6 linked regions of the Oryctolagus cuniculus genome follow. The protein of the gene in region 3 interacts with the protein of the main gene of each other region in a pairwise test. Links are inferred from orthologs where the notes say so. Each region holds a gene or a part of one and is shown on either strand. Other genes may lie near its edges.

Evidence for each region.
Region 1: the proteins of CCDC102B (region 3) and GOPC interact in binary tests that used the Homo sapiens proteins (3 or more experiments, as listed by UniProt). The two-hybrid records come from large-scale screens. The link is inferred for Oryctolagus cuniculus from reciprocal best matches to the Homo sapiens genes CCDC102B and GOPC.
Region 2: the proteins of CCDC102B (region 3) and EHHADH interact in binary tests that used the Homo sapiens proteins (3 or more experiments, as listed by UniProt). The two-hybrid records come from large-scale screens. The link is inferred for Oryctolagus cuniculus from reciprocal best matches to the Homo sapiens genes CCDC102B and EHHADH.
Region 4: the proteins of CCDC102B (region 3) and ABI2 interact in binary tests that used the Homo sapiens proteins (3 or more experiments, as listed by UniProt). The link is inferred for Oryctolagus cuniculus from reciprocal best matches to the Homo sapiens genes CCDC102B and ABI2.
Region 5: the proteins of CCDC102B (region 3) and PNMA5 interact in binary tests that used the Homo sapiens proteins (3 or more experiments, as listed by UniProt). The two-hybrid records come from large-scale screens. The link is inferred for Oryctolagus cuniculus from reciprocal best matches to the Homo sapiens genes CCDC102B and PNMA5.
Region 6: the proteins of CCDC102B (region 3) and HMG20B interact in binary tests that used the Homo sapiens proteins (3 or more experiments, as listed by UniProt). The two-hybrid records come from large-scale screens. The link is inferred for Oryctolagus cuniculus from reciprocal best matches to the Homo sapiens genes CCDC102B and HMG20B.

Annotation. Positions count from the first base shown.
Region 1 is NC_091436.1:52,746,662-52,752,019, reverse strand, and holds the start of GOPC (Golgi-associated PDZ and coiled-coil motif-containing protein), read right to left. Parts: upstream 3,319-5,358; 5' UTR 3,072-3,318; coding exon 2,784-3,071; intron 1-2,783.
Region 2 is NC_091435.1:94,865,743-94,869,347, forward strand, and holds the end of EHHADH (peroxisomal bifunctional enzyme), read right to left. Parts: intron 3,413-3,605; coding exon 2,151-3,412; 3' UTR 1,279-2,150; downstream 1-1,278. UniProt on the Homo sapiens protein: Peroxisomal trifunctional enzyme possessing 2-enoyl-CoA hydratase, 3-hydroxyacyl-CoA dehydrogenase, and delta 3, delta 2-enoyl-CoA isomerase activities. Catalyzes two of the four reactions of the long chain fatty acids peroxisomal beta-oxidation pathway.
Region 3 is NC_091441.1:9,979,994-9,984,639, reverse strand, and holds part of CCDC102B (coiled-coil domain-containing protein 102B), read left to right. Parts: intron 1-2,389; coding exon 2,390-2,607; intron 2,608-4,646. UniProt on the Homo sapiens protein: During interphase, forms fibers at the proximal ends of centrioles to maintain centrosome cohesion. During mitosis, dissociates from the centrosome following phosphorylation to allow centrosome separation. Contributes to CROCC/rootletin filament formation.
Region 4 is NC_091434.1:36,633,625-36,638,270, forward strand, and holds part of ABI2 (abl interactor 2), read right to left. Parts: intron 3,389-4,646; coding exon 3,213-3,388; 3' UTR 1-3,212. UniProt on the Homo sapiens protein: Regulator of actin cytoskeleton dynamics underlying cell motility and adhesion. Functions as a component of the WAVE complex, which activates actin nucleating machinery Arp2/3 to drive lamellipodia formation.
Region 5 is NC_091453.1:131,405,625-131,410,922, reverse strand, and holds the start of PNMA5 (paraneoplastic antigen-like protein 5), read left to right. Parts: upstream 1-1,839; 5' UTR 1,840-1,967; intron 1,968-4,163; 5' UTR 4,164-4,305; intron 4,306-5,283; 5' UTR 5,284-5,298.
Region 6 is NC_091447.1:59,466,609-59,471,772, forward strand, and holds the start of HMG20B (SWI/SNF-related matrix-associated actin-dependent regulator of chromatin subfamily E member 1-related), read right to left. Parts: upstream 3,580-5,164; 5' UTR 3,547-3,579; coding exon 3,484-3,546; intron 3,259-3,483; coding exon 3,203-3,258; intron 2,873-3,202; coding exon 2,764-2,872; intron 2,454-2,763; coding exon 2,250-2,453; intron 1,712-2,249; coding exon 1,591-1,711; intron 1,502-1,590; coding exon 1,455-1,501; intron 1,065-1,454; coding exon 992-1,064; intron 773-991; coding exon 557-772; intron 1-556. UniProt on the Homo sapiens protein: Required for correct progression through G2 phase of the cell cycle and entry into mitosis. Required for RCOR1/CoREST mediated repression of neuronal specific gene promoters.

The sequences.
Region 1 (5,358 bases), on a different chromosome or scaffold from region 3:
TCCTTAAACATGGTACTAGATATGGTTTATTGATTGTGACAAATACATGCTAATAGGGGAAGCTGGTATAGGGTATAAGGGAGCTCTTTTTACTATTTCATAGTTTTCGTTCTGTAAACTTAAAACTACCCTCAAATAAAAAGTTTTTAAAAATTCCTGTTTCAATTAAAAAGAATAAATAGGGGCCAGTGCTGTGGCTCAGCAGGTTAAAGCCCTGGCCTGAGACACCGGCATCCCATGGCGGGTAGGAGGACCAGTTTGAGTCTTGGCTGCTCCTCTTCCAATCCAGCTCTCTGCTATGGCCTGGGAAAGCAGTAGAAGATGGCCCAAGTCCTCGTGCCCCTGCACCCACGTGGGAGACTTGGAAGAAGTTCCTGGTTCCTGGCTTCAGATCAGCTCAGCTCTGGCTGTTGTAGCCAACTGGGGAGTGAACTAGTGGATGGGAGATCTCTCTCTCTCTCTGTCTTTACCTCTCTCTGTAACTCTTTCAAATAAATAAAAATAAAGGAAGAAAGAAAAAAAATGTAGTGCTACCCAAAGACACAGGACTGGATAGAAATGGCAATCTAGAAGGATACTTAAGACTAATTTAGATACATTATACATCACCCACACTGGAGTTATTTGAGTCTTTATTATATATAAATATTTAAAAATATTAATCTCTAAAATCACTGAACTTGGAGTGTATTTATTGTATCAAACAACATGTGCACTCAAATATTATGTCTTAATATTTATTTCAAACAATATAATTCAATTGGCCTACTAAGAAATATGATAAGGCATGAAAGTATGGAAACCTTTTCTCAAATTTCAAGTTCTCAGGAGCCCATAAATTTACAGCAATCCCTAAAATTCTGCAGATGGTACAACCAGCAGATCTACTTTGAAAGGCACTGTTGACAAGGAACCTCTTTCTTCAGCAACATCCAACTGATTCCATGGAAACTGTAGAAGCTGCTAAATGTGAAAAAATTAACACCACAGGCAGAAAAATCTAATGTAACTGAAAAAAAAAACAACAAAAATCAAGGTATGCCTCTCCTTCTCCATTTTCTAAGATCTTTAAATCAGGAGTTTCAAACCTGCTGAAAAAATATGCTCACATTGCAATATGCTAGCACTTTATATTTTGAGAAATAATTGGCCAGGACATGGAGTCAGAATATGTAATTACAATTTCTAAAAAAAAAAAAAGCATAATTTATTACAACCCTGAATATTCATCTAAAGTATTTAAAAATGAAAAAAAAAAAATTTGACCACCACCTCCTACTTACAGAATGATCCTTTCTCCAAAATCAGATTTTGTATCTGTCTTAACAAACATTTTACTTTCCTTAGGTCGTTAAAAAATAAGTTAGATAATGTTTCATTTCTACAAAGCCATTTATCCCCTATAGATGCCTGGGGTTGCAAATTATACTAAAGTTTTTTTGTTTTTTGCTTTGGCAAAAGCTACTCTTGATTTTTGCTGCTTAAAGTTACTATTTCTAAAAACCATCAAATAAAATTTCATTACTTAAAAAAATAGCTATCTTCTAGAAAGTATCACTAATCAAGAAATCAAGAAACATTTTAATTTACCTACAATAAGACATGAGTGCTTGCATATCAGCATTTTCATTGCAATTTTTTCACAAAGGATGGAAGAAATCAGCAGTCCTCTCAGTGCAGAAGAGCCATAAAATCTTGGGTATGGAAGTCTACACCAATCAAAGATTAATTATACCACCTTTTTCATAGTTAACAAGAGAAAAGCAAAACAATACGGATCACTGAGCAAGGAGAGGATGCATATGTGACAGTCCTGTTAATCTGGATACAATGGGGTCTCATAAATTTATTTCAGCTAGTAGCAATGATGATTTCCTAGATAAGCTAATGTTCAAAGAGCTCTGCATATCATTCATTATCCCATTTTTATCTACTCTAAAATTTAAAGACATTCTCTCGTTTAAATTGCCGAGTTAGAATCCTTTATGCAACATTAATCTATCATAATTTCTAAATATTGTGATAACACCCCAATTTAATTTTCTGTACACTGTGGTAGCTTATTTTGTGTGTTTGGATTTGAGACTCAAGCAAATGATCATTCTTTACACACACTCAAAATAAATCCAGACTTTGGGAAACACAGTAAAGTAGAAATCCATTAACCTCAGTGTTAGAAGTCACCTGAATAACTGCAGGAAGCTCTGGAGGTATGTGCTTGTAATTTAAGGACCAACTATGAATGTGAACCCAGACAAAACGATACTATGTATACGGGTACACTCCACTAAATTTTTCTAAGACCTTGGATCAGATTCCCTTTAGATAGTTCATGCATGTCTCCGTGTGCAACCACACATGCCAGTCTGTAACATCTAAAATGAAAATAATCAGGACCGGGACTGTCTGGAAATATACTAACCTAGTCTGCAAAACCCCAGTGTCAAAACGTGGGCTAAGGTATCCTCATGACACAATGAGGTCTAACGTAACATGTACGAGGGACACCAGTATCACTAGTTCCTGTTCCCTCCTCAGTGAGATACTCGAAGGTGAATGACAGGACCCCGGGAGACCCACACGTAGGTCTACGTCCCTTTCTCTCCTCCGGTCTCAGCTCTCCCCCTCCTCCGCTCCTGCCCACGCACTCCCCCCATCGCATTCCAAGGCCAGGTGCCCCAATGGGCAGTTTTCTAGGGTCGTTTCGCTGGTGCGTTGATGGGATCTGACGCCACTGGCCCACCTGGGGTCGACTGCCACCCATGCCAGCGCCCACGGCTCACCTCGAGCTTGTGGTTGATTTGGGACACAGTCTGAGCTTTGTGGCAAAGCTGCGCAAAGCAGGAACTCAGGCTGGTCATCTTCTGTCGCCCCTCGTAAGTGATGTCCGCCTGGTCCGGATCGATCTCGCCCAGAAGCAGATCCACATCCACAAAGGCCTTGTCGAACTCCTTCTCCAGCACCTCCAACCACCGGAACATGGACACCCCGCCAGGGGAGACCCCCACGGCGCAGGAGGCGCCCCCGGGGCCCCCTCCGGCTCCTGCCGGGCACGGGCCGCCCGCCGACATGGCGCCGTCTAGGGCCTCCCTCGACTGCTGCTTAGCCTGGCCGCCCACTACACTCGAGGGGAACTGCTGGGACTGCGGGGACCCCCGCGCGCGCACGCACGCTCCGTCGGTCCCCTCCCTTCCCCTCGAGCCGATAACGCCGGCACTGCAGCCCCAGAGTGGCAGCACCAGTGAGGCTGAGGCGGCAGCGGTGGCACACGGAAGACTCGGACAGTCCCACCTCCCGGCCCGCCCCCGCTGCGCATGCGTAGCGAGGAGCTGGGCGGACGCAGCCCGGAGGGATGAAATGGGCGGGGCCGGGAAGCGACCTTGGCCTATGAAAGGCCTCTCTGCTTACGACCCGCCTGTCAGCGGCCATATTGACAACTGGCAAGCGCCGCTGGAATCCCTGAGAAGCGGAGGCGCGCGATGACTGCTTCCAAATTGGAAAGCTCTAATGAGGAGACGGGTGTCCACGTCGCAGAAAAGAATGGTTTCCGCCAGTCTGACTGCACGGTGGGCGGGGACCATTCTAAAGTCGTCCTGGAAAGTTGCTGCAGTGGCGTCCAGGGACGGGGAGGGGGAGTAGTGGAGTGAAGAAGGGCGGTGTGAGCATGCGCAGTAGCCACGTTTTACCTTTTCCATTCCAGTTCCCGCTTGGGGTGAAGTGGGTGGACAACCCTAAATTCCAGGTGGGAGCTGCCTAAAGCTGCAGGTTGAAACGGCTAACCAGGTTTTGCTGAATTAATGGAAGGTTTTCTGTCTTGTCATTAGCAGATTGGCCAAGGTTCAAAGCTTGCACCCTGTCGCATGCTAGCTGTTCCATCCCAATTGTAATATTTAACCTTGAAGCCTACTTTCAAAATTTACTTCACTCACTAATAAGCTGCTCTTAAGCCAACTTTGGAAGTTTAATAACAACTGACTCTGTAGAAAAGGCTTCCTGAATGTAAAGAGCTGATTGTCTCTAGATTAAAATTACATTGATATATGATTTCTTTAGATACATTTAAGGTTGAACTAAGTTTCCATCCTGGATAGCCAATTGTTTACCGTCTTGATTGGCATTTCACCTCTACTCACTGATTTTGTCATTATTTTGCTACACATATGAATTCATGCTGTAATTGTTAAAATTTCTGACTTACTGGCAGTGCTTGCCACGTATCCAACTTAGTATACTGCTGGTCATACATATCAAAAGCAGCTGCTTTAAAAGATGTAATTATTTTAAAAACTGGTACATTGTCCCAGCAGATGAATTCATTCTGTAATTTATGACTTAGCGGCAGTGCTCGCCACATACTATTCCACCACACTTCTGATCATACATTTTGAAAGGTGTAATTATTTCAGAAACTGGTACATTGTCCCCACACACATTTTAGAAAAACAAAATTGCTAAGATTCATGTATTCCTAAATATACGCACAGTCCTGTTGAGACACTGAGGACATGTAACCTTAAGAAAGGCGTCTTCCCTTCCTCTCTTTTCAGATTTTAATTAACAGATGTTTATCACTTGTCTTGCGTGACTTCTCTTGTGACTTGTCTTGTGACTTAAACTAGTTGCCCAAGAATTTCAGGACCCAATTTCTTCCCTTACTGCCTCCCCTATCCCAAATCCTCTTTCTCCTTTAAAAGTCATTCTGCTAGCTTGCAAAGTGGGGAAGAGCACATTTGGGAGGGTGGAGCCTCTAGGTAGCCACTGTAATAAACACTGTCTCCCAGCATCACCTCTTGTCTCCGGGGCATTGCCTGTCCACATCCAGCAGCCCAGGCCTAATTTTGGTGTGGTAGCAGAGTGACTAGAGACATGATTATGAGGCTGGTGTTGTGGTATAGTGCCTTATGCCAAGACTTGTGATGTTGGCATCCTGTATCAGAGCACCATTTCTAGTCCCAGATGCTCCACTTCCATTCCACTCCCTGCTGATGTGCCTGGTAAGGCAGCAAAGGATGGTCCGTATGCTTAGGTCCTTGCTGCCCATGTGGGAGACCTGAATGGAGTTAAAGGCTCCTGGCTTTAGCCTGGTTATTTAGCCTCTGGGGGCTGGGGATGAATCAGTGGATGGAAGATCTCTTTGTCTCTCTTCAACTTTCTCACTCTGCCTTTCAAATAAATTAATTTTTTAAAAGGGAAATAAAAATGTGATTCTCATTCCAGTTGACCGCATAGGCTAGTGAGGGTAATTAATTTCACAGATACAACTTGGCTATGAATTTTGTGGTGCTTTTTGGAGTTTTGAGCAACTGCTGTCTACCCACTCTCAAACCTCTTCCTCTTCAAGAATTGCCAGTTCTGGAA
Region 2 (3,605 bases), on a different chromosome or scaffold from region 3:
TGCAAATTAACAGTAAAACTAGTCTTCAAACAGTACTTTATACTTTGTATGTCTGTGTGGGTGCAAACTGTTGAAATCTTAGTATCTACTAAGTTGATCTTCTGTATAGAAAGATAATTAAAAATGAATCTTAATGAAGAGTGGGATGGGAGAGGGAGTAGGAGGTAGGATGGTTTGGGGGTGGGAGGGCAGGTATGGGGGAAAAACTGCTATAATCCAAAAGTTGTACTTATGAAATTTATATTTATTAAGTAAAAGCTTTCTATAAAAAAAAAGAAGCAGATCTGGGACTCAAATCCAGGTACTCTAGCCGGCGCCGTGGCTCAATAGGCTAATCCTCCACCTTGCGGCGCCGGCACACCGGGTTCTAGTCCCGGTTGGGGCGCCGGATTCTGTCCCGGTTGCCCCTCTTCCAGGCCAGCTCTCTGCTATGGCCAGGGAGTGCAGTGGAGGATGGCCCAGGTGCTTGGGCCCTGCACCCCATGGGAGACCAGGAAAAGCACCTGGCTCCTGGCTCCTGCCAGGATCAGCGCGGTGCGCCGGCTGCAGCGGCGGCCATTGGAGGGTGAACCAGCGGCAAAAGGAAGACCTTTCTCTCTCTGTCTCTCTCACTGTCCACTCTGCCTGTCAAAAAAAAAAAAAAAAAAAAAAAAAAAAAAAAAAAAAAAAATCCAGGTACTCTGATACCAGATGCAGGTGTTCCAAATCTTAACCACTGTGCCAAACACTTGCCCTTGTGATGTGTATTTTCAAAGACAGGATGGACTATGTTAAGATGTTTCTCCGATTAATTACTATTCAGTATAGGACCCAACAAATTAGAATTCATTTTGCCTCTTTGACATAACATAAGTGAACTCCTATTTCTTCAGCCCATTTCCTATATAAAGTATTGGTCCTCAAACTGTATTTGGTTAACAGCACTTTTCACAATACGGTGGGAGATAGTCTCTCTCTCCCAATAAATGCATACAGATACATATACAAAAACTTCATGATAAAATTTCAGGGGTCATTAACTCAAAACTTATTCACATACTGTCTAGTTTCAAAACTCTGTTGTAGAGGCTAGTATACTGTGAAATATGCTTTAATAATTCAAAATGAAATCTGAGATAAAACACAAGAAGTTAACATGGATTTCTTTACAGAAACCTGAAAATAAGTCACTACTTTAGGGAATCTTTTCAATTGATGTTTTAAATCCTAAAAGCAAAATATACATAAACAACTGGAAAGCATTACAGAAGTTTTTTGAAATTTAACAATTCAAGGGCATATTATTGGATTTTCTTTATTTATTTCTTGTTTGCAATGAAAAACTTATACTCTGTTTGTTCAAGATTTCGCCACAAGAACTTTTTATAATTTTGTTGGAGTTCACATGTGAAAACATTGTGAGAATAATTCACTTACATCATTTCATGTGATAACAATGTCATTCCAATTTTATAATGCACATATCTACAATTCACTCATTTCAAGATACAACTCAGTAGTGTTTAGTGTAATCACAGAGTTACATACCATTTCCACAACATTTAAATCTGCCTCATCTTATTTTATTAAATGATCTTAGAACATTTAAATCTGCCTCAGAGACCCTCCCCGCTGCCTCTGCCCTGCCACCTCTGTGCTCCACCGCACAGAACACGCACTGCACTTCAGCACGGGCTTCCCTGCCGCTTTCGTGGCCCCACGGACTCTGCTCTGCCAAGTGCTCCCAGAGGGGGAAGACGCCAGGGAGGTGCTCACTCAGTGTTCACCGAATCTTTGATCTGTAGCATTCCCCATCAATACTATGTGTGCGAGGCTGAAAGGGTCAAATGATTGATGACTTTGCTGCACTTCTCATTTGTTAATTGATGACATATTTCTCCAACGATCAGAGCACTTGGGAACCTCAACTGATTCCCACGGCTCTCTTATCGTATCTTACTATGGTGTTTGGTTAACACAAGTTTAACCCTTGAATTTACTGGTAGAGGACAGATACAAAGGAATAGGAAGCACATTCCTTAAAATTAGCTGACAAATTACTCCTTTGCCCTGTATCTCTGAGCAATCTTACCTACAATTCTGGATTTAATTTCATTGGAACCCAGTGGGAATCAGCTGATGCCAGCTACGAGGTAACCGGGGAGGCTGGATCACAGTTTACTGCTCGGGGGCCCTGCCAAGCGCTGCCACTCTCTCAGAGGAGGGTTTCCCTGGGAAGCCAGTTTTCTGAGATAGGCGCTGGGCTCCAGCTGAGGGATATCAGGGTTCTGTCTGTAATATTTCTCCAGCTTCTCCAGAACCTTGGGCAAGCCGACTGTGGAAGCATAGAACATGGGCCCGCCTCTGTGCCTAGGCCAGCCGTACCCATATAGATAGATAACATCGATGTGCTCTGGGCTGGCAGCCATCCCTTCTCCCAAGATACGGAAGGCTTCATTGATGAGTGCATACAAGCTACGCTCAAGGATCTCTTCCTGGCTGATGACCCGAGGTTCAATGTGGTAGGTTTCTCTGTACTGTGACAGAAAGTTGGAAAGCCAGGGGTCAGGCTTGTGAATCCTGCCCAGCGGCTTGTCATACTGATACCAACCCTTACCAACCTTCTGGCCAAATCGTCCTGATTCACAGAGCATGTCAGGAATTGGGCAGTATCTCCTGTTGTTCCGCTTTCGGGCAGGAGTTCCTGGAGGTAACGTGGGTCCAGTAAGACCTTGCCCCTTCCGAATTCTCCAGCCCACATCCAACCCAGCAAGGTCAGATACCCTGAAAGGTCCCATTTTAAAACCAAACTCCTCCAGCACCTGATCTATCTCCTCCGGCTTGCTGCCATCTTCCAACAGGAAGTACGTCTGATCATAATAAGGTCTCAACATTCGATTCCCAACAAACCCGTGACAGTTGCCTACAACCACTCCAACCTTTTTAATCCTTTTCGATAAGTTCATGACAGTAGCAATGGTGGTGGGGGAGGAGTATTTGCTAGGAATCACCTCCAATAACCTCATGACGTGAGCTGGTGAGAAGAAGTGGGTGCCGATGACCATGTGGGGACGGTCAGTGGAAGAAGCAATCTCATCAACGTCCAGGGCTGAAGTGTTGGTGCACAAGAATGCTTCTGGCTTACACACAGCAGACAGCTCAGCAAACACCTGCTTCTTCAGGGCCATGTCCTCAAATACCGCTTCAACGACTAAATCTACACCACTGAGCTCCTTCAGGGATGACGTTAACCTGGGTTTTGGTACCGACCCAGGGTGGCCACTCTGCTGCATTTTGGATGCTTCCTTTTCCAAGATGGAAGTTATCACCCTGTTTGCAGCTTCCAGTTGCTTTTTATCTGATTCCACAGCAATCACAGGAATCTTGGCCCTTGCAAAAGAAATGGCAATACCTCGGCCCATTGTTCCCAAACCTGTAGACAAAGAGTGAAGGAAACAAAGAATGATTCAATAGTTTTGGGATTTGGGAAATTACTCACTGAACAGAAAGGTTCTACTGCAATTTAAAGAGATTTATACATTTAAAGAGATTGATACAAACAACTGAAGTGGTTCAAGCTAACATTAGATAGTATGCTACATGCTCTCAAGGTAAAAAAAAAAAAT
Region 3 (4,646 bases):
GTACAATGTTCCTTGAATCCATAAACTAATTCTTGGTTATTACAATGAATTATATGAATGAACCAGGCTTTGCATTTGAAAATGAAGGTTTCTCTTCAAATGTATTATGTTGAGACATTCACAGTATTTTGAGGTTTCATTACAGTATCTCTGTGTCACCACTGTTAAGAACTAATCAGGGGCTGGCACTGTGACGCAGCGGGTTAACGCCCTGGCCTGAAGCGTTGGCATCCCATATGGGCACAGGTTTGAGTCCTGGGTGCTCCACTTCCGATCCAGCTCTCTGCTATGGCGTGGGAAAGCAGTATATGATGCCGGCGCCGTGGCTCAATAGGCTAATCCTCCACCTTGCGGCGCCAGCACACCGGGTTCTAGTCCCGGTTGGGGCGCCGGATTCTGTCCCGGTTGCCCCTCTTCCAGGCCAGCTCTCTGCTATGGCCAGGGAGTTTAGTGGAGGATGGCCCAGGTGCTTGGGCCCTGCACCCCATGGGAGACCAGGAAAAGCACCTGGATCCTGGCTCCTGCCATCGGATCAGCGTGGTGCGCCGGCTGCAGCGGCGGCCATTGGAGGGTGATCCAACGGCAAAGGAAGACCTTTCTCTCTCTGTCTCTCTCTCTCACTGTCCACTCTGCCTGTCAAAAAAAAAAAAAAAAAAAAAAAAAAAAAAAAGAAAGCAGTATATGATGGCCCAAATCCTTGGGCCCATGCACCCACATGGGAGACCCAACAGAAACTCTTGGCTTCGGATTGGCGTGGCTCCAGCCATTGCGGCTACTTGGGGAGTGAACCAGCAGATGGAAGACCCCTCTCTGTCTTCTCTCTCTCTCTCTCTCTCTTGCCTCTCCTCTCTCTGTGTAACTCTGACTTTCAAATAAATAAATAAATCTTAAAAAAAGAACTAATCATACATAGTAGGTACTTATTAAAAGTTTCTTTATTTTGGAAAACAGGTAAAATTACTCTTGATTGTAGGTAAATTCATATTTGTGATAGAAGAAGCCTCAATCAGCTGTTTTCATTTTGATCAGTTTTATGCTAACACTAGGCCAGTGAGAAAGATTCCAGGGTATATGTCATTTGTCCTACTACTGTATTCAGGGACACACATCTGATTTTATTACTTTTCAACATGATATATGTAGCTACAATATTCTTAAAAGAATTAAGAAATAAATAAAGCTAGGTAACCTGGCATAGAAATGGTAGTTTTAATTTTTTTTATATGAGAGTCAGAAAGCAAACAGAGAGCACTCCCATCCACTGGCCTACATAAGGACTGGGGCACATAGTACTTTCAAAAATATTTTATATGATGATTTATTTATTTCTTTGAAAGGCAGAGGCAGAGAGAGAGAAGTCTTCCATCTGTTGGTTCACTATCCAAATGGTTGTAATGGCCGGAGCTGGGCCGATCTGAAGCCAGGAGCCAGGAGCTTCTAGGTTCAGGGGTCCGAGGACTTGGGCCAACTTCTGCTGCTTTCCCATAGCAGAGAGGTGGGTTGGAAATGGAGCAGCTGGGACTTTTAAGTGGCGCCTGTATGGGATGCCAGCACTGCAGACGCAGCTTCACCTGCTACTCCACAGTGCCGTCCCGGACACATAGTACTTTAAGAATAAAATATTAAAAATTAAATATCATTGATTTTATTTGAGCTTGGATTTATTTAATTTAAAACCCATAACTCATGGCAAATTTAATTTTAGGCACATATGTACAGAATCAGTTCAGTGAAATATTGTAATGATACGATTTTTGGCACCGTGTGCTATTCTGATAATTGGCACTCATTTATTAATATGTCCCAATCAATTCTACTTGAGATTTGACTAGTGAACAAAATGTCAATAAACATACCTATTAAAATATTCAAGAGCTTTCTGAAAATTCTTTCTACTCTTTCATCCCAAAAATGTTAAAAACAACCAGTTGGCTTTTCTTTGTAACTCTCAAGTGTTTTGTGAAAAGGAAACCTTGAAGAGATTTGTCAACTCAAAAACTTTTTAAAGCAGTTAAAGTTTATGCTGAGTTATTTTAAGCTATAATTATGAAATATTAAATTAAAACAAACTAAAAGAGTAGAAGTTTTGAGAAATGTATTTTACTATAGTAAGGTTGAACATAGAAATTTAAGTTTGTAAAAGAAGGCAAGTCCTTAAATAAAATTATAAAAAAAGTAATAAAAAACAGTGGGGGAAAATAAAGAAAAAGAAGGCAAGTCAGTTTGACTGTATCAAAATAATCTTACAGAATGATAGTGAAATGAATGGATTTGACACTATATCATAACATTTATTTCCATTTGATACTGCATTTATTATTTATTATTTTTCTCTGAAAGAGTTAAACATTCAACAATAACAACTGTTTTATGCTTTTTTTCCCCCCAGGAAGATGTCATTATTGATCCACTAAGATTAAATGAGGAGATGAAATCCAATCTAGATAGTCCTGATTTATTTAAGAAATGTGGTTCTGGAAATTGTGCAATGAAACCTGAGCTAAGACTACCAGCTATAAATCTGCCTTTGGAGAATGACGTAACTGACGTGTCAACTTTGCAGGTGCATTTGGATGACTTCCAGAAAATCCTTTGGAAAGAAAGAGAGTAAGTTCTAAGCATTGTCTTCCTTAACCAAGTCTGATTTCAAACTTCTTAAAATTGGTAAGTCTGATCAACTGGTTGCTGGGTAATGTATTTTCTCATGTTTATCTATTACTTTCTAAGATTCAAAAAATGAATTTTGTGTATCATTTTGAATTTTGAAAAGTAATTTAGAGATTTTCTTTTATTCTTTCAAATTGACTTATTATAAGCACATTATCATCTTTGAGATTCACTTTTAACTATTTGAATTCTTAATATATGATTAAAATATCTAGTGTATATCTAGTTTTTACAGCAGCTTTGGACTTCAGTGATTCAATAAAATAATGAATGTTACCATAAGTAACAGACAAATCACAATTTTGCAAGGCACTCATTGCTGAACAAGATTTTTTACACATTGAGCGTCATGGTATATAGGGAAAGAGCACTAGGCTTGTGATTAAGTGACCTGGTTATTCATTTGCTTTGGCTATATTTTTGCTATATCATAACTGGACTGCTGTCCCTTTTGTAAGAATAGGGGCAGTGGGGCAATGTTGTGGTATAGTGGATGAAGATACTGCCTGCAATGCTGGCAGCTTATATAGGGCATCAGTTCAAGTCCTGGCTATTTCACTTCTGATCCAGCTTCCTGATAATGCTCCTGGGAAAGCAGCAGAGGATGGCCCAAGTGCTTGGGCCCCTGCACCCACATGGGAGACCTGGGTGAAGCTCCTGGCTCCTGGCTTCCGCCTGGCCCAGCCTTCGCAGTTGCAACCATTTGGGGAGTGAACCAGTGGGTGGAAGACCTCTCTCTCTGTCTCTCCCTCTCTTTCTGTAACTCTGCCTTTCAAATCAATAGAAAATAATTTTAAAAGGTTTAAATGACAGCAGGGACAGTGATGTTATCTTTTTTTTTTTTTTTTTTTTTTTTGACAGGCAGAGTGGATAGTGAGAGAGAGAGAGACAGAGAGAAAGGTCTTCCTTTTTTGCCATTGGTTCACCCTCCAATGGCTGCCACGGCTGGCGCGCTGTGGCCGGCGCACCGTGCTGATCCTAAGGCAGGAGCCAGGTGTTTCTCCTGGTCTCCCATGTGGGTGCAGGGCCCAAGCACTTGGGCCATCCTCCACTGCCTTCCCGGGCCACAGCAAAGAGCTGGACAGGAAGAGGAGCGACTGGGACAGAATCTGGCGCCCCGACCGGGACTAGAACCCGGTGTGCCGGTGCCGCTAGGTGGAGGATTAGCCTATTGAGCCGCGAGTGATGTTGTCTTTCGGTTATCCATTGTTTTGTAATACGTTCCTGAACAATTGTTCTTAAACCAAGATATATTCTGTAGATTAGTCATGGCTTTGCATGGTGCCTATCTCTCCCATGAAGGTTGAGCTTGGATGATTCACAGGCAGTGGTGACTGGAAGGTTGGGAGCTGCAATACCTGATGTTTTACCCAATCACATGCCTGATAGATTCTGATTCTCTCCTGGGCTCTCAGTTGGAATGCCTGAATGGTCTTATCCCCATGAATGCTTGGCTTCTCCACATGAATTGCCTAAGGTTCATGTGAATGACTTAAAACTATACAGAAATTTATAGCATTTTAATGACCTCTCCTCAAAAATCCCATAGCAGCCTTGGTGTTTGGCACTGTGGTTAGGATGTCACTTGGGGTGCCTGTATCTCCTACCAGAATACCTAGGCTCAAGTTCCATGCCGACTTCCTGTAATGTACACCGTGAGAGGCAGAAAGTGATGGCCAACCACAAAGGGGAATCATTGAATTCCAGGCTCCTGGCTTCAAGCCTTGCCCTGTCCTGGCTGTGGTGAGCCTTTGGAGGGGGAGTGAACCAGCAGATGAAAATTTTCTGTCTCTGTCTCTCTGCCTTTCAAATGAAATGAACATAAAAGTTCAAAAATCTTTTTAAAGATTGGTGATATTGCTTCTAATACACTTATTGGTGGAGGCAATCTCAAAGGTTGACTCAGGTCAAAGAAGACGTCAAAATCACTTTATAATCAGAGCATATAGGATGTGGTCATTATGGGAGCCACCTTTGCA
Region 4 (4,646 bases), on a different chromosome or scaffold from region 3:
GGGAAAATGTCTTTAATGACAGTTTTAGAAGGGGTAAATGATTGTTTTCACTAAGGTGGCACTTAGTACAGTTTTAGAGAGTCTGAATACTCAGAGGGCATTTAGTGAAACATGGTGGTTCAAGTATATTTCTAAGGACATCAAGTAGAATCAAAGAAAAATACAGCACATTTAATTAAGACAGCTGTGGTGCAGAGAGGCCCACTGGGCTTTGAGTCAGGAATTCTGTTATCAGCTGTTCATCTGAAGCAAAACATTTAACCTTACCAGTCAAAAGAGACGGAACCAGAGATGCTAAAATCTAGTTTTAAAATCCTTTGATTCAAAGTAACTGGGGTGGGGAGTTCCTAGCCAAAGTTGTTCAGACGTGAACAGGCCCCATTCTTCTCAAAGACTGGCAGTCACCTGGCCATTCCTGCAGCAAACCCTCTGCACACGTAACGGTGGACCTCAGGACCTGGCAATGCCCACGGAGGAGAAGGTGACAGAAGGGGAAGTAGCTCCTAGAGGTGCAGAAATGGCACCTGCTAAACTCAAGTGGAAACCAAGATCACAGCAAACTGTATTTTGATGCCTCCCAAACAGAAAAATCAATTTACTCAACACAAAGCACAGCTATGTGGCACAGCCACGCTACACACAGTGCTGGGGAGATGTACACAACAGCTGCTCTCGCCGGGACCAAACAGTCGGAGGAGGGAGAGGAGAGGATGAGAAGGGCTCATCCCCAGTGACTCAGCAACACAGCGGAGTTAGCAAGTTCTTCGCAGCCCTAAGGTGAGAGCAGCAAGCGCTACTGAGGGAGAAAGGAAAAAGGCCGAGAGACAGAAAATACGGACCGAGACGTCTTAGCAGATTAGTATTTATTCCAAACACATTAGTCTGGATTTCTCAGGTCTGGATTTTGATGCACTGGTACTTTGTTTCCAATTTATTGTCTTGGCCATAAGGTCAAAAACAAAAACAGTGCGTTTTCATTCATATCTCCACCAACTCTGGAATATTAACACCAAAAAAAAAAAAAAAACCATTATGCAGTGACTTTTTAAAAAAATTGTAATAATGAGATGACCACAGTCTAAATGAACTTCAGAGGGAAGAATCTTTTTCCCATCAGATTCTATCCTTACAAATGGTTGCTTGCTGTTCAGCAGATCTGCGACTTGGATCATCCTCGCTGTAATTATTAAAAGCATGTAAGATTTTTCTGCATTCATTTGGAATTCCTAATACCATCTTTTAGTTTACAGGAAGATAAAGGGGGAAACACAACAGGAAATATTACCCTCACAGACTATTAATAGCATGCAATCTATGAAATATTACATACATTAAAAGTCTCCAATGCAGGCCTGGCCCATCATTACATTATATCCTTCTGAGACAATCTATAGAATTCAGAACTGTACAAAAAAAGTGGGCAGAAAATCCAACAAATATCATTTGTTAAACAAAAGTCACACACACACAACAGTACCAAATAATATAGAAAATACTGGCTAAGTCGTGGACTCCTGCCACCGCAGATGTTAAATATAGAGAGGCCTTCACCGAGTATCTGGCACACTCCCATCCAGCAAGGGTCCAGCAGGTGCGCGCGTTACAGCTTCTGCACAGGGGTCTCCTCTGGTGGGGAGCCGGGAGCTACTTGTTGGATTTCAAAACACCTTAAACCACAAAATGCTCTCAGCAAAGAAACTACTCAAAAATATAGCTGGAAGATGTCATTTCAAAGCTGTCTGTCCAGCTGCACGCCGGCACTAAGCAGGGTTTACCCGATGCACACGCAGTCTGGTTTGGGTGTCCGATGGCGTTGAAGGCCCCGCGGCACTGACTGTGAAGGAACACTAAGGGACATCAAGATGACTCAAGAAAAGCACGAAGTGGAATGTGGACTGGAGGCAAGTTAGTAAAGCTAAGACCAGTCTGGGGAAATCAGGAAGCAAAATGGTTAAGCCCAGTTACCTTTCTTCTTAATTATAACTTCACAAAGTCTTGATCAGGAATCTCTACAGCTGGGTCTGTTGCACAGCGATGTGCAACAGAACATGACTTCTGCCTGCTCATTTGCACTCAAGTTCCTGCCTGCACTGCGTGCCTTGCCGGGGGTTCCCAGTACTCAGGGGACAGCAAGTGTGACGAAGGAAGCCACTGGCCTGCAAACTCCACTCCATGTAGAACCCTAACAGCTGAACAGATGGGAGTAAAATTCTTTTGTTACTGCTTCTAAATTAGCGAGGGGGTCAGCATTGAGGCCTGTTGCTGCTCTCCAGCTAGGATGCTCTGAGTGTGAGATGGGCTTGGGGCTGAGAAGCCCCTCAGGGTCCCATCACGGTGAGGCTCCCTCTCCCAGCGCCCCAGGGTGGCCAGGAGGAGGCTGGGAACAGGGTCTTTCTATGTAGGGAAAAGGAGGGCCCCACAGAACTGCACCTCAGGCAAGGGTTTGGGATGCCCTCGAGGCCAGGCAGCAGCTTGCTCTCGGACCCTCCCACCGCCTCCCCGGGAACCGCCCCCACCCCAGCTGCTTCCCGGCAGCGTGGTACATCACACCGTGCAGTCCTTACCCACCCCGCCATGTCTGCAGACTCCCAGAGCAGCATCCTGTCATCTACACACTGGGGAACAAGGGATACAAGTGCGTTCAAGGTCAACTCGCTGGGCGCACTCAGGTGTTGAGGATGCGGAATTTACAGTGTCCAGGAGGAACAAGGCTGCTGAGCCAACGGAACCATGGTTACCGGGGAGTGTAAGTATCGACTTCCTCCTCCTCCTCCAAGCGGAAGGAAGTGCGGGCACCAGTACCCACTGGGCATGAAGCCAACCCCTTAGCACAGGCAGAGAACACCCAATGCCACGGGTTTTGTGGGAGGAGGAATCGAGGGTGTCCAGTATTCCTGAGAACGATCCCAGACAGTGTCCCGAATCAGTCACTCTGATGTGCTCAGCTGCACGGTTAGGCGGTTCCAGCTTTGCCACCTCGGAACCGGTCACGGCGCATCACTCGACAGCTCAGCGTGGCACCAATCACTGCAGAAAGACCCGTCTGCTCAGAGTTGGCTTTTTTGTTTTCAATACTCGGGGATTAAAAAAAAAAAAAAAAAAAGCCGTTTTATCGTTTGTATCCTTCGTTCTGTTTGGAAGGGGCGCCCCGGGCCATGAGTACTCCGGGGAGACCTGACTGTTCCTGCGAGGGCCGCACAGCCCCCCGCGCGTCACTCGGAATAATGCATGATGGACTCCACGTAGTTGCCCGGGAAGAGCCCAGTCACTCCATTCATCACGCCCTCGTACCAGCCGTCGTCATTCTTCTTGATGACGTAGATGATGGCTCCTTCCTGGAAGGACAGCTCATCCTCCTTGTCTTTTGTGTAATCATAAATTGCCACAACTAAGGGAGAAAAAACAGGATATAAAAAGTCACTATTCTTAGAGAAAACCAAACATGCAGATAACCGTTCTTCCTTGTCATCTGCATCTCTGTAACAGCCTGACTTTCTAAACAAGACCACAGTTTGTACACTTTTCTCCCTGGTACCCAGTCTGACACCACGCAATCCCCTTTCCTACCGAGGGGAGGCTCTGCACGGTACAGATGGCAGTTGTCAGCTTCACCCTTCCACACAGAGGCGAAAGCGCCTCCTTGAAGACGACCTCAGAACCAGGAAGACGGCTACCTCTTCACTTGAGCTTGCGCTGCAGCTCCACGCTGGGGAAGAAAAATGCAGGCCTTCCAGCACTGAGATTCTACAGTGCGGTGAATTCACCTACGAGGCGACTGACAACAGACCGAATTCCCACGATGCTTGGAGGAGGGGAGTCCACCTGTAGATACGTTCTTTCAAAAGGTGCTCCATTTTGTCACCAGCTGTATGTGTCCACAGGAACAGTGTCAAAGTGTAAGAAAGCCAGCACTCCTCCGAGCTCCCCTGTGATCCGCACGGCTCCCATCACTTGGTGACCGGGCCTTTCAACCCCGCCCTCGGACCATCTCTGCTTCCTAACATCACATTTATCCCGCTCGTTTTAACTGCGACACCTGAGAGCTCGCTCAGATGCCCCTGTGGAGTTCTAGTCTACGCCAGCCCCTCTGCCTCCTGCACCTTTCTGGTATCATCCAGAACTCTGTCCAGGGAAACCTCCATCTCCATCTATCCATGGTTAAAGCATATATTGCTGGGGCCGGCGCCGTGGCTCACTCGGTTAATCCTCCACCTGCGGGCACCGGCATCCCATATGGGCGCCGGATTCTGTCCCGGTTGCCCCTCTTCCAGGCCAGCTCTCTGCTGTGGCCAGGGAGTGCAGTGGAGGATGGCCCAAGTGCTTGGGCCCTGCACCCCATGGGAGACCAGGAGAAGCACCTGGCTCCTGGCTTCGGATCGGCCATTTGGGGAGTGAACCAATGGAAGGAAGACTTCTCTCTCTCTCTCTCTCTCTCTGTAACTCTGTCAAATTAATAATAATAAAATAAATAATAAAAAAGCATATATTGGCCGGCGCCACGCTCACTAGGCTAATCCTCCGCCTAGCGGCGCTGGCACACCGGGTTCTAGTCCCGGTTGGGGCGCCAGATTCTGTCCCGGTTGTCCCTCTTCCAGGCCAGCTCTCTGCTGTGGCCAGGGAGTGCAGTGGAGGATGGCCCAAGTGCT
Region 5 (5,298 bases), on a different chromosome or scaffold from region 3:
TTTTTTGCATTTTGGTATTTATGTAAATACAAGAAATTTGAATATTTTTCCTTTCTTAAGATAACTATTCAATAAACTGTGTTAGGCATCTTTTAAAAAAGAAAAAGAAGAAGAGACTGTGAAGTGTGATTGCTAGCTCAGGGCTTCGGAAAAGGAAGAGAAGCTACATGAAGTTGTCCAACAAGTGTCTTGTTCCTACTTAGCAGTGGAAACAAATAGTTCATTCAGCTAATCATTTATGAGGCAAAGAACAGGAATTTGGGGGATGTCAGGGCTTGCTTTGTGATAGGTCAACAAAGGAGGTATCTGCTACGTGCTATTCAAGTCATATGAGGGAGCAGCATTCTTTGCAGGAGGCTTTTTGCCACAACACAAAAGGCTGAGGGGTTTCTTAACCTTCTGGGTGGTCCGGGTTTACAGGGTTCAGGTAAAATGCACCATGATCTCCTCCTCATCCCTCAGCAACTTTTTGTTTTTAAGGAAAGACTAGGGAGGAGCCAAGTCTAGCAGTGAGAAGTAGAATGAAGTACAGAGGTGCTCAGGACAGCTCTGCTCACAGCCTGTATGAGACTGGGCAGCTGGTGGTGTCATCCAGAGGGTGCTGTGGACTGCTGTAAGGAGAGCCGTCTGGTCTGTGACCACGTGGCAGCGCCAAGTAATCATTTTCTCCAGTAAGGAGAAGGAAATTAATTTAAGAGATAGTCCAAAGTATGTTCTTGTTAAGTACGCAGTATAGGGGTCTGGGTTACAGTGTCATGTCTCACCTAGGAAAAATTTTCAATTAAAGGAGAATAATGCAATATTTGTATGTATCTTACTTGGTGACATTTAGTTTTAAAAGTTTTCTGCTTTTCACATTTTCATTAAAATATGATTTTAAAAAAGGCCTGTTATTCGTACCAAATACAGCAAAACTTACGTTCTGTCAGCTTACAACTTCTGGCTCTGGTAATCTCAGAGCAGTGCTACACAAAGCATGGGCAGGGAACTGCAATAGCCGCTAGAGTTTTGGTACTTTTGCAGACTCTGAGCTCTGCCAAGACCTCCTGACTCACAACTTGAACCGCTACTATCACCTGCTCTGGGAAATGTGTGTGCACTTTGTAAACTGCTACCAGTGTCCCACCAGTGCCCTTTGCTGGGACAGGACTTTAGGGTCCCCAGTAGCCCCAAGGAAAACAGCTAAGTCTTCCCTCTGTGGAAGAAACCTGCTTTGGGAAAGAAAAGAGAGAAGTTTCGGTACCTCGTGGGTAATTCTCATGCAATCACGAGAATAATGAGAGAATGAAATCTTGATAGTTTCCTGTATCTCAATGAGCCTTGAAAATTGCATGCATTTGTAAAATGAAGGTAGTAGCTGTATTTTTTATTTTTTGCCGTCCCCTAGGACACAGTGGATAAAAATTAACAAGGACAGAGACGTTTGGTTAGTTAGTAGGTACCGAGCTTGTAGTTTGCACCTGGACCTATACTTTGCACATAGCCCTGTGTGCATAGCTTGGAATACACAAACAGGAGGAGCCACTGGTGAAAGTCAGAGCCAGTCCCAGTCCAATGGGTGAGAGACACCTATCATAGTAGCCGCAATGGTTGCTGGGACTGATGTGACAGGTGGTGGTCCTGTCGGCCTCTATTGAGCACGTACAAGCTGGACTGTGAGCAACTCTGCAACGCAACAGTTCTCAGTATGGTTTGAATTCTCTGTTCCCCCTCCAGTCATGACTCAGAGGAGAAACGTGCGGTGGACAGGGCACAACCCCTTTATTGCAGGAGTGGGGTGGAGGTGGAGATGGGGGTGGGCGTGGCCGTAGACGTTGCCGGGATGCATCTGCGAGTGGGCGGTGCTGAAGACCGTTGCTTACCCGACAATTTCTTTCCCGCCACAAACTCGCGGCTCATTCCGTACAGTGGCGGCGGCAGAGTGGCCACGCTGCACGGGCGCTGTGGCCTGGAGGCATTCCCAGAAGGTAAGGAGCTGGGTTTGGGCACAAAAGGGAACCAAGGTTACAACAGATTCCCTCCAATGATCCTGGTTGACCTCCATGAGGTCCCAGGGGCCAGTGGCCTTAGATTCCCCTGGAAGCAGAATCCTAGGGGTCCCTGATATTTCCAGTTATCATGAGTGGCCTCAGAACTTTAGGAGGGCCCATTCTACCCCAAACCTGCCCAGACGTAGCAGTAAGGACAACTGGTTCTGGCCCTTATCCTTGAGGGAAAGTGGCTTTGGCCATTCCTGTTCTAGCCTCTAGCTACCTCTGCTGACTAGATGTGTCCCTGCTCAGAGTAGTGGAAAGGGTGTGTGAGGTTAGGAGTGAATGGGACAGCCTGATGGGTACAGGAGGTTAAAGATAATGAGGTGGGGGAAAGGAGTACAGGGAAATGGAAGTGAGGAACTTGGGTGGGTGCAGGACGTGCACATGAATGGCGGAGTGTATGACACTCGGATGGACACAGAGTTTGGCGGTTCAGTGGCTCTTGGTGAAAGTGGCTTTTGGCGCCAGAAATGGCGCTTGCGCAAGACGCAGTTTGCCGGTTCAGTGGATCTTCAGAGGTTGGCTTTTGGCGCCAGGAATGGCGCTTGCGTGGACGCAGAGTTTGGCGCCAGAGGTGGGGCTTACGTGGACGCAGAGTTAGACGGCAGGGGTGGGGCTTGCGTGGACGCAGAGTGTTGCGCCGGGGTGGGACTTGCGTGGACGCAGAGTTTGACGGCAGGGGTGGGGCTTGCGTGGACGCAGAGTGTTGCGCCGGGGTGGGGCTTGCGTGGACGCAGAGTTTGACGGCAGAGGTGGGACTTGCATGGACGTAGAGTGTTGCACCAGAGATGGAACTTGCGTGGACGCAGAGTTTGACGGCAGGGGTGGGGCTTGCGTGGACGCAGAGTTTGGCACCAGAGGTGGGGCTTACGTGGACGCAGAGTTAGACGGCAGGGGTGGGGCTTGCGTGGACGCAGAGTGTTGCGCCGGGGTGGGACTTGCGTGGACGCAGAGTTTGACGGCAGGGGTGGGGCTTGCGTGGACGCAGAGTGTTGCGCCGGGGTGGGACTTGCGTGGACGCAGAGTTTGGCGCCAGAGGTGGGGCTTGCGTGGACGCAGAGTTTGACGGCAGGGGTGGAGCTTGTGTGGACGCAGAGTGTTGCGCCGGGGTGGGGCTTGCGTGGACGCAGAGTTTGACGGCAGAGGTGGGACTTGCATGGACGTAGAGTGTTGCACCAGAGATGGAACTTGCGTGGACGCAGAGTTTGACGGCAGGGGTGGGGCTTGCGTGGACGCAGATTAGACGGCAGGGGTGGGGCTTGCGTGGACGCAGATTAGACGGCAGAGGTGGGGCTTGCGTGGACGCAGAGTTTGACGGCAGAGGTGGGACTTGCATGGACGTAGAGTGTTGCACCAGAGATGGAGCTTGCATGGACGCAGAGTGTTGCGCCGGGGTGGGACTTGTGTGGACGCAGAGTTTGGCGCCAGAGGTGGGGCTTACGTGGACGCAGAGTTAGACGGCAGGGGTGGGGCTTGCATGGACGCAGAGTGTTGCGCCGGGGTGGGACTTGCGTGGACGCAGAGTTTGGCGCCAGAGGTGGGGCTTACGTGGACGCAGAGTTAGACGGCAGGGGTGGGGCTTGCGTGGACGCAGAGTGTTGCGCCGGGGTGGGACTTGCGTGGACGCAGAGTTTGACGGCAGGGGTGGGGCTTGCGTGGACACAGAGTGTTGCGCCGGGGTGGGGCTTGCGTGGACGCAGAGTTTGACGGCAGAGGTGGGACTTGCATGGACGTAGAGTGTTGCACCAGAGATGGAACTTGCGTGGACGCAGAGTTTGACGGCAGGGGTGGGGCTTGCGTGGACGCAGAGTTTGGCACCAGAGGTGGGGCTTACGTGGACGCAGAGTTAGACGGCAGGGGTGGGGCTTGCGTGGACGCAGAGTTTGGTGCAAGGAGTGGGGCTTGCGTGGACGCAGTTACATGGCAGGCGTGAGGCTTAGGTGGATGCAGAGCTTGGCCTTGGGGGTGTGGCTTGAGTGGAGGTGGGATTTGGGGCTTGGTGGGTGGGATTTTTCCCTGGGGGTGGAGCAGCAGTTTCTTGTATTCGTGAGCAGATTCAAAATTGGCACATCCTGAGCAGGGCATTTGGGACGTAACCACAGTGAAATACCTCTGCCTTGCTTTGGACAGATCCAGTGAAGGGATCCTGATCCATCTAACCTGGTTCGGGAACTGCCTGACAGGACAGAGCTGGAGAGCAAGCTGAGTGCCTGATTACATCAGAATCACAAACTCTACACGGCCAGTGGAATCCACACTGCCAAGTCGTCAAGTAAGTTATTTTGGAAGGTGAGCCTCTGTGACCCTGGCAAAGGACAAGGGGACAAAGGCTGCCTTCCAGGATCCACACACTCTGCAGGGTAGGGCCACACCTAGGGTGACAGTTGTCTGTTTCCTGCAGCGGGACAGTGGGAACCCTTCGTTGGGTCCCTTTTCTGCCCCTAATTCTAGCTGCTACACAATATGAAACCTTAAGCACTTGTTTTTTCAGCACTCAGTCCTTGCTGCTCACCTCACCCCCATCTCCCCTTCACTCTCCCAGCTCCCTTGCTGCTAGGACATTTCCATTGGCTGGAGGATAGTGACATCACCTGTTGCTCTTCAAGTGCCTTCACCTTACCACATGACACAGCCCTGTGCTAGAAACCCATGGTCCATGCTGTTCTCAGTAAGCATAGTAACACTGTAGTTTCTGCACCTACCATTCTCAGATTGCACAGAGCTCTGGCCACCTTTGTCTTCTGTGGGACATTTTCTGAGAAAGAGAACAGCTCCCAGTCTCCTGCCAGCCTTTACCCCAGCAAAGAGATTTCCAGGTCATCTAGACCCACACAAATCCTCTTCTGACAGGCAGCCTTTTTTTTTTTTTTTACAAGCAGAGTTAGACAGTGAAAGAGACAGAGAGAAAGGTCTTCCTTTCTGTTGGTTAACCCCCCAAATGGCTGCTAAAACCGGCGCACTGCACCAATCCAAAGCCAGAAGCCAGGTGCTTCCTCCTGGTCTCCCATGCGGGTGCAGGGCTCAAGCACTTGAGCCATCCTCAACTGCCTTCCCGGGCCACAGCAGAGAGCTGGATTGGAAAAGGAGCGACCGGGACAGAATCCGACGCCCTGACCTGGACTAGAATCCGGGGTGTCGGCACCACAGGCAGAGGATTAGCCAAGTGAGCCACGGCACCGGCCACAGGCAGCCTTTGTCAGTGTCCCTAGGCATCAGTCCCTGCCTGCTGACAATGGCCTTTGTCCCACAGGCACCTGCAGCACCT
Region 6 (5,164 bases), on a different chromosome or scaffold from region 3:
GGCTCTAGATGATGGGGCGGGGCCCGGGAGGGGGCGGGGCCGGCTAGAGGGTTGGGGCCAGGGCAGGCAGGGCTCTGGGGCGGAGCTCTAGACGACGGGGCGGGGCCCGGGAGGGAGGGCGGGGCTGGCTAGAGGGTTGGGGCCTGGGCGGGGCCGGGAGGGAGGGCGGGGCTGGAGCGAAGCTGGAGGCAGGGCTCTGGGGCGGGGCTCTAGACGATGGGGCGGGGCCCGGGAGGGGGGCGGAGCCGGCTAGAGTGTTGGGGCTGGGGCGGGGCCGGGAGGGAGGGCGGGGCTGGAGCGAAGCCAGCGGCAGGGCTCTGGGGCGGGGCTCTGGACGATGGGGCGGGGCCCGGGAGGGAGGGCGGGGCCCGGGAGGGCGGGCGGGGCCGGCTAGAGGGTTGGGCAACCGGGGTGGGGCTGGGAGGGAGGGCGGGGCTGGAGCGAAGCTGGAGGCAGGGCTCTGGGGCGGGGCTCTAGACGATGGGGCGGGGCCCGGGAGGGGCGGGGCCAGCTAGAGGGTTGAGGGTTGAGGGCTGGGCCGGGCAGGGTTCCGCACCCGGCACGGGCAGCGAGGCGAAGCTGGCGGTGAGCGCCTGGCGCACGGCCTGCAGCTGCTGCTGCAGCGCCAGCGTCCGCCGCTCCTCCAGCGCCAGCTCCTGCTCCAGGCGCTCGCGGGCGCTGCTCATGGTGCGCGTGTGGCGCTGCAGGGCCGCGTTCTGCTCCGCGAAGGCCACGTTCACCTGCCGCAGGCGCCGCAGCTCCGCCTCCCGCGCTGGGGGCGTGGGGGGCCGGGTCAGGGCTGGGGTCCCGCGCCCCGACCCGCACCGCGGGCCCTCGGGGCCCCGCCCCTCCCCGACCCCCGCCAGCCCGGCCCTCGGGGCCCCGCCCCTCCCACCCCGCCAGCCGGGTCCCCACACCCTCTCCCCACCCCCCGGAGAGCCCCGCGCCCCCTCCCCGCGCCCCCCCCGCGCCGGGACCACCGGGCGCCAACCTTTGTTTTGGTCCAGAAACTCCTCAGTGAAGATAGGGACGTCGAAGGCGGCCAGGCCGTCGCAGTCCCCGGCCTGGGTCGGGGGGCGAGGTGGCTATGCTGGGGGGAGCTCCCGGGGCACCTAGGCCTGCGCCCGCCCGCGGCTCCCCACACCCACCCGGCCGGCTCCCTGCCCCCTTCCCGTGGCTCCCCACACCCACCTGGCCTGCTCCCCACGCCCTCCCGGCCGGCTCCCCATGGCTCCCCGTGGCTCCCCGCCCCCTCCCGGCCAGCTCCCCGGGCCCTCCCGGCCGGGTCCCCGTGGCTCCCCGCGCCCTCCCGGCCTGCCCCCCATGGCTCCCCGTGGCTCCCCGCCCCCTCCCTGCCTGCTCCCCGTGGCTCCCCGCACCCCTCCCGGCCGGCTCCCCGCGGCACCCCGCACCCTCCCTGCCTGCTGCCCGGGCGGGCACAGGGCCGCGCTCACCTTGTACCCGTTCAACACGGTGTTCAGCAGCCCGGAGCCCGAGTCCTCTGGCGGGAGGGAGGGGCAGGGTCAGCGCCCATCACGCAGTGGCCTTGGCCATGGCCGGGCTGTGGCTCCGCCCCCACGCCCCGCCCACCTCTCTTGGCTTTCTTCTCCTGGATTTTCTCGGCGCACATCTGGTAGGCCTCGGACTGCTGGTAGGCCCGCAGCTCCCGCATGTACTGCTGCTTCTCGCGCTCCGCCTCGTCCAGGTACCGCTGCGGGTGGGCGGGCAGGTGGGCCCGAGCCCCGCCCCGCCCCGCCCCCGCTGCACCCTCGGTGGCCCCGGCCCGCACCCCACTCGCAACAGGCGCAGACCAGCGCTGGCCTCCGTCGGACCCGCCTGGGTTTTCCACATTTAAACTAACGCGCAAATCTGGGTTCAGCAGAGACCCGGCCCTGTCCGACCGGGCGGGCGCTGACCGAGGCCGGTGCCCCCTTCGGCCCTGTCCAACCCGGGCGGGCGCTGACCGAGACCGGTGCCCCCTTCGGCCCTGTCCGACCGGGCGGGCGCTGACCGAGGCCGGTGCCCCCTTCGGCCCTGTCCGACCCGGCCGGGCGCTGACCGAGGCCGGTGCCCCCTTCGGCCCTGTCCGACCCCGGTGGGCGCCGACCGAGGCCGGTGCCCCCTTCGGCCCTGTCCGACCCCGGTGGGCGCTGACCGAGGCCGGTGCCCCCTTCGGCCCTGTCCGACCCCGGCGGGCACCGACCGAGCGAGGCCAGCCAGGGCGCGCCGGGGCCCCTCGGCCGCCGCACCTGCTTCTCCGCCGGCTGCAGCTTGCTCCACTCGGCGCCCAGCATCTTCGTGATCTCGGGGAACGGCAGGTCTGGGTGGCGCGTGCGGATCTGCTCCCGCCGCTCGTTCAGGAAGCGCACGTAGCCGGTGACCGGCGCCTTGGGCCCGTTCGGCAGGACCTTCTTCCGCTTCTTGCCCTTGGGCCAGCCGCGCTTCCTGACCGGCTGCGGAACGGGGCGCGTGGGCAGGGGCCGGGGCCCCGAGAGGGCCAGGCTGGAGGAGGACCAGGTCCAAGGGGGCCTGGACCTGGGCAGGCGGACCGCGGGTCCCCTGGGGGTGTGGCTTCTGATTGTGGGCGTGGCCTCTGACAGAAAGAAGCGCTTATAGGCGGCCCAAAGGAAAGCTCCGCCCAAAGGGCGGGGTCACCGGGATGTGGGCGGGGCGAGGGGGGATAGTGGGACAGTGTTCCCCGGATACCGGGCAGTGGGCGGAGCCACAAGACTTGCACACGGGGCGGGCGGGCCCTGTGCTCACCTCCTCCTCCTGGGACCCCTTCTCGCCGGCCCGCGGGCCCTCGGCGCGCTCCTGCTTGACCGCGACCACGAAGCCCCCGTGTGGGCCCGGAGCCCTGCCGCCCGCCGGCCTGCAGCCACGGGGCACGGGGTCACCAGGGTCACGCCGGCCCCTGGAGCCCAGACCGCCGCCCGCCGGGGTCGGGACATGGGCAGATCGGGGAGGGGACGCAGAGGCGGCCTTGGGAGGACGGAGCCCAGCCGGGGGGCGCGGGCCGGGTCAGGACGGGAGCCCGAGGGGGCCTAGGAAGGAGCGGGGCTGGGGAAGGGGTGGAGGCGGGGCGGGGGCAGGAGGGGCTGGGGAGGGGGCCGGGGCAGGGCGCAGGCCGGGCTGGGGAGGTGGCGACCCGGGAGAAACCCTCCAAGGGGGCAGGGCGCTGGGGCGGGGGCGGCGCACTCACGCGGCGGCCGCGCCGGGCTGCTTGGGGCCGTGGGACATGGCGGCTCCGGGCCGGACCTGCAACGCAGACGCGCGGCGTCGGCGAGGGGCGCCCGGGACCCCGGGGGGTGCGCTGGGGGCGGGGACGCGCTCGAGGGCGGGCGCCGGGGGCTCCTTTGTTGGGCGATCGCCGCCCCCGGGGGCCCGCCCGGCCCCGCCCCCGGCCCGAGGCGGCCCCGGCCGCGCCCCGCGCCCCCCGCGCCCCCGCCCTGCGCGGGACCCCGACTTCCGCGCGGCTTTCACCTCCACAGAAACTTTCCCGGCCCTGGCGGCCGCCGCGACGCGCCAACCAACCGCCCCCGGCATGCTAATGAGGCCCCGGCGAGCGGCCCGATTGGCCGGGGCCCGCCCCGGGGGCGTGATCATGTAGATGAGGGTCGGCGCGCCGCTCGGCGATTGGCCGCAGCGGCTGCCGAGTCGCCGGGGAGGCGGGCCGGGGAGGCGGCGGGCGGCGCGTCAAGTTCGGCTGCGCGAGGCCGCGCTCGGGGCCAATCCCTGGCGTCCGAGGCCGCGCGGGGCGGAGCCTCTTAAAGGGCCAGCAGGCGCGCGCGGATCCGGGTTCGGCCCCGCCCCGGTTGCCGTGGGGACGCAGGGGGTCGCTAGGGCGAGGGGGCTCTGGTTCTTAGCACCCGCAGAGCTGGGGAGGGGGCCAAACCCGCCGTGGCCGAGAGGCTGGAGCGCTGCGTGGCCGAGACCGGGCCTGGGTCAGGCGGGGGCTGGACAGGCGACCTGGGCCGGGGTCAGGCGGGGGCTGGGCAGGAGACCCGGGCCGGAGTCAGCCCCATCTGCACGGCCGTCAGTCCTCGGGCACCCTGGGCACCTTGGCCGCCCCCCGCCCCATCTGCCTGCTCACGCACAGGTCCTCGCACAAACCAAGGGGCGAGTCCGGTGTCCACGGGGCGGGTGCGTGGGTTTGGGAGCGGCTGGCGCTCACGGACGGTCAGCCCGGCAGTCCCGGGGTGCGGCTGCGGGAGAACCTGCGCGAGGCTCCCCGCAAAACGGGACAGACGTCTGCGGCCCGGAGTGCGGGGCCGAGTACTTGCGGGCCCCGCAGACGTCACGCCGGGGAGCACGAACGCGCGTGGGGCCCCACGGCCGGGCAGGGGACTCCGCGGGGACAGGAAGGGGGCGTGGTCGCCGCGGCCTGAGGGAGGGGCTGGGCACTGCCTTCGGGGGTGACGAGAATGTTCTAAATTTAGACGGCGCAGACTGGAATCCACGGACGCCCTGAGGCTCTGCTGCGGGGCCCCGCCTCCTTGCTGTGATTGACAAGGCTGCTGTTGCCGTAGGAACTGCCCTGCGGGCCCCGCCTCCGAGCCGTGATGGACAGGCTGGCGTTGCCGTAGGAACTGCCCTGCGGGCCCCGCCTCTGTCCGTGATGGACAGGCTGGCGTTGCCGTAGGAACTGCCCTGCGGGCCCCGCCTCCGTCCGTGATGGACAAGGCTGGCGTTGCCGTAGGAACTGCCCTGCGGGCCCCGCCTCCGTCCGTGATGGACAAGGCTGGCGTTGCCGTAGGAACTGCCCTGCGGGCCCCGCCTCCGTCCGTGATGGACAAGGCTGCCGTTGCCGTAGGAACTGCCCTGAGGGCCCCGCCTCCGTCCGTGATGGACAAGGCTGGCGTTGCCGTAGGGACTGCCCTGCGGGCCCCGCCTCCGTCCGTGATGGACAGGCTGGCGTTGCCGTAGGAACTGCCCTGCGGGCCCCGCCTCCGTCCGTGATGGACAAGGCTGGCGTTGCCGTAGGAACTGCCCTGCGGGCCCCGCCTCTGTCCGTGATGGACAGGCTGGCGTTGCCGTAGGAACTGCCCTGCGGGCCCCGCCTCCGTCCGTGATGGACAGGCTGGCGTTGCCGTAGGAACTGCCCTGCGGGCCCCGCCTCTGTCCGTGATGGACAGGCTGGCGTTGCCGTAGGAACTGCCCTGCG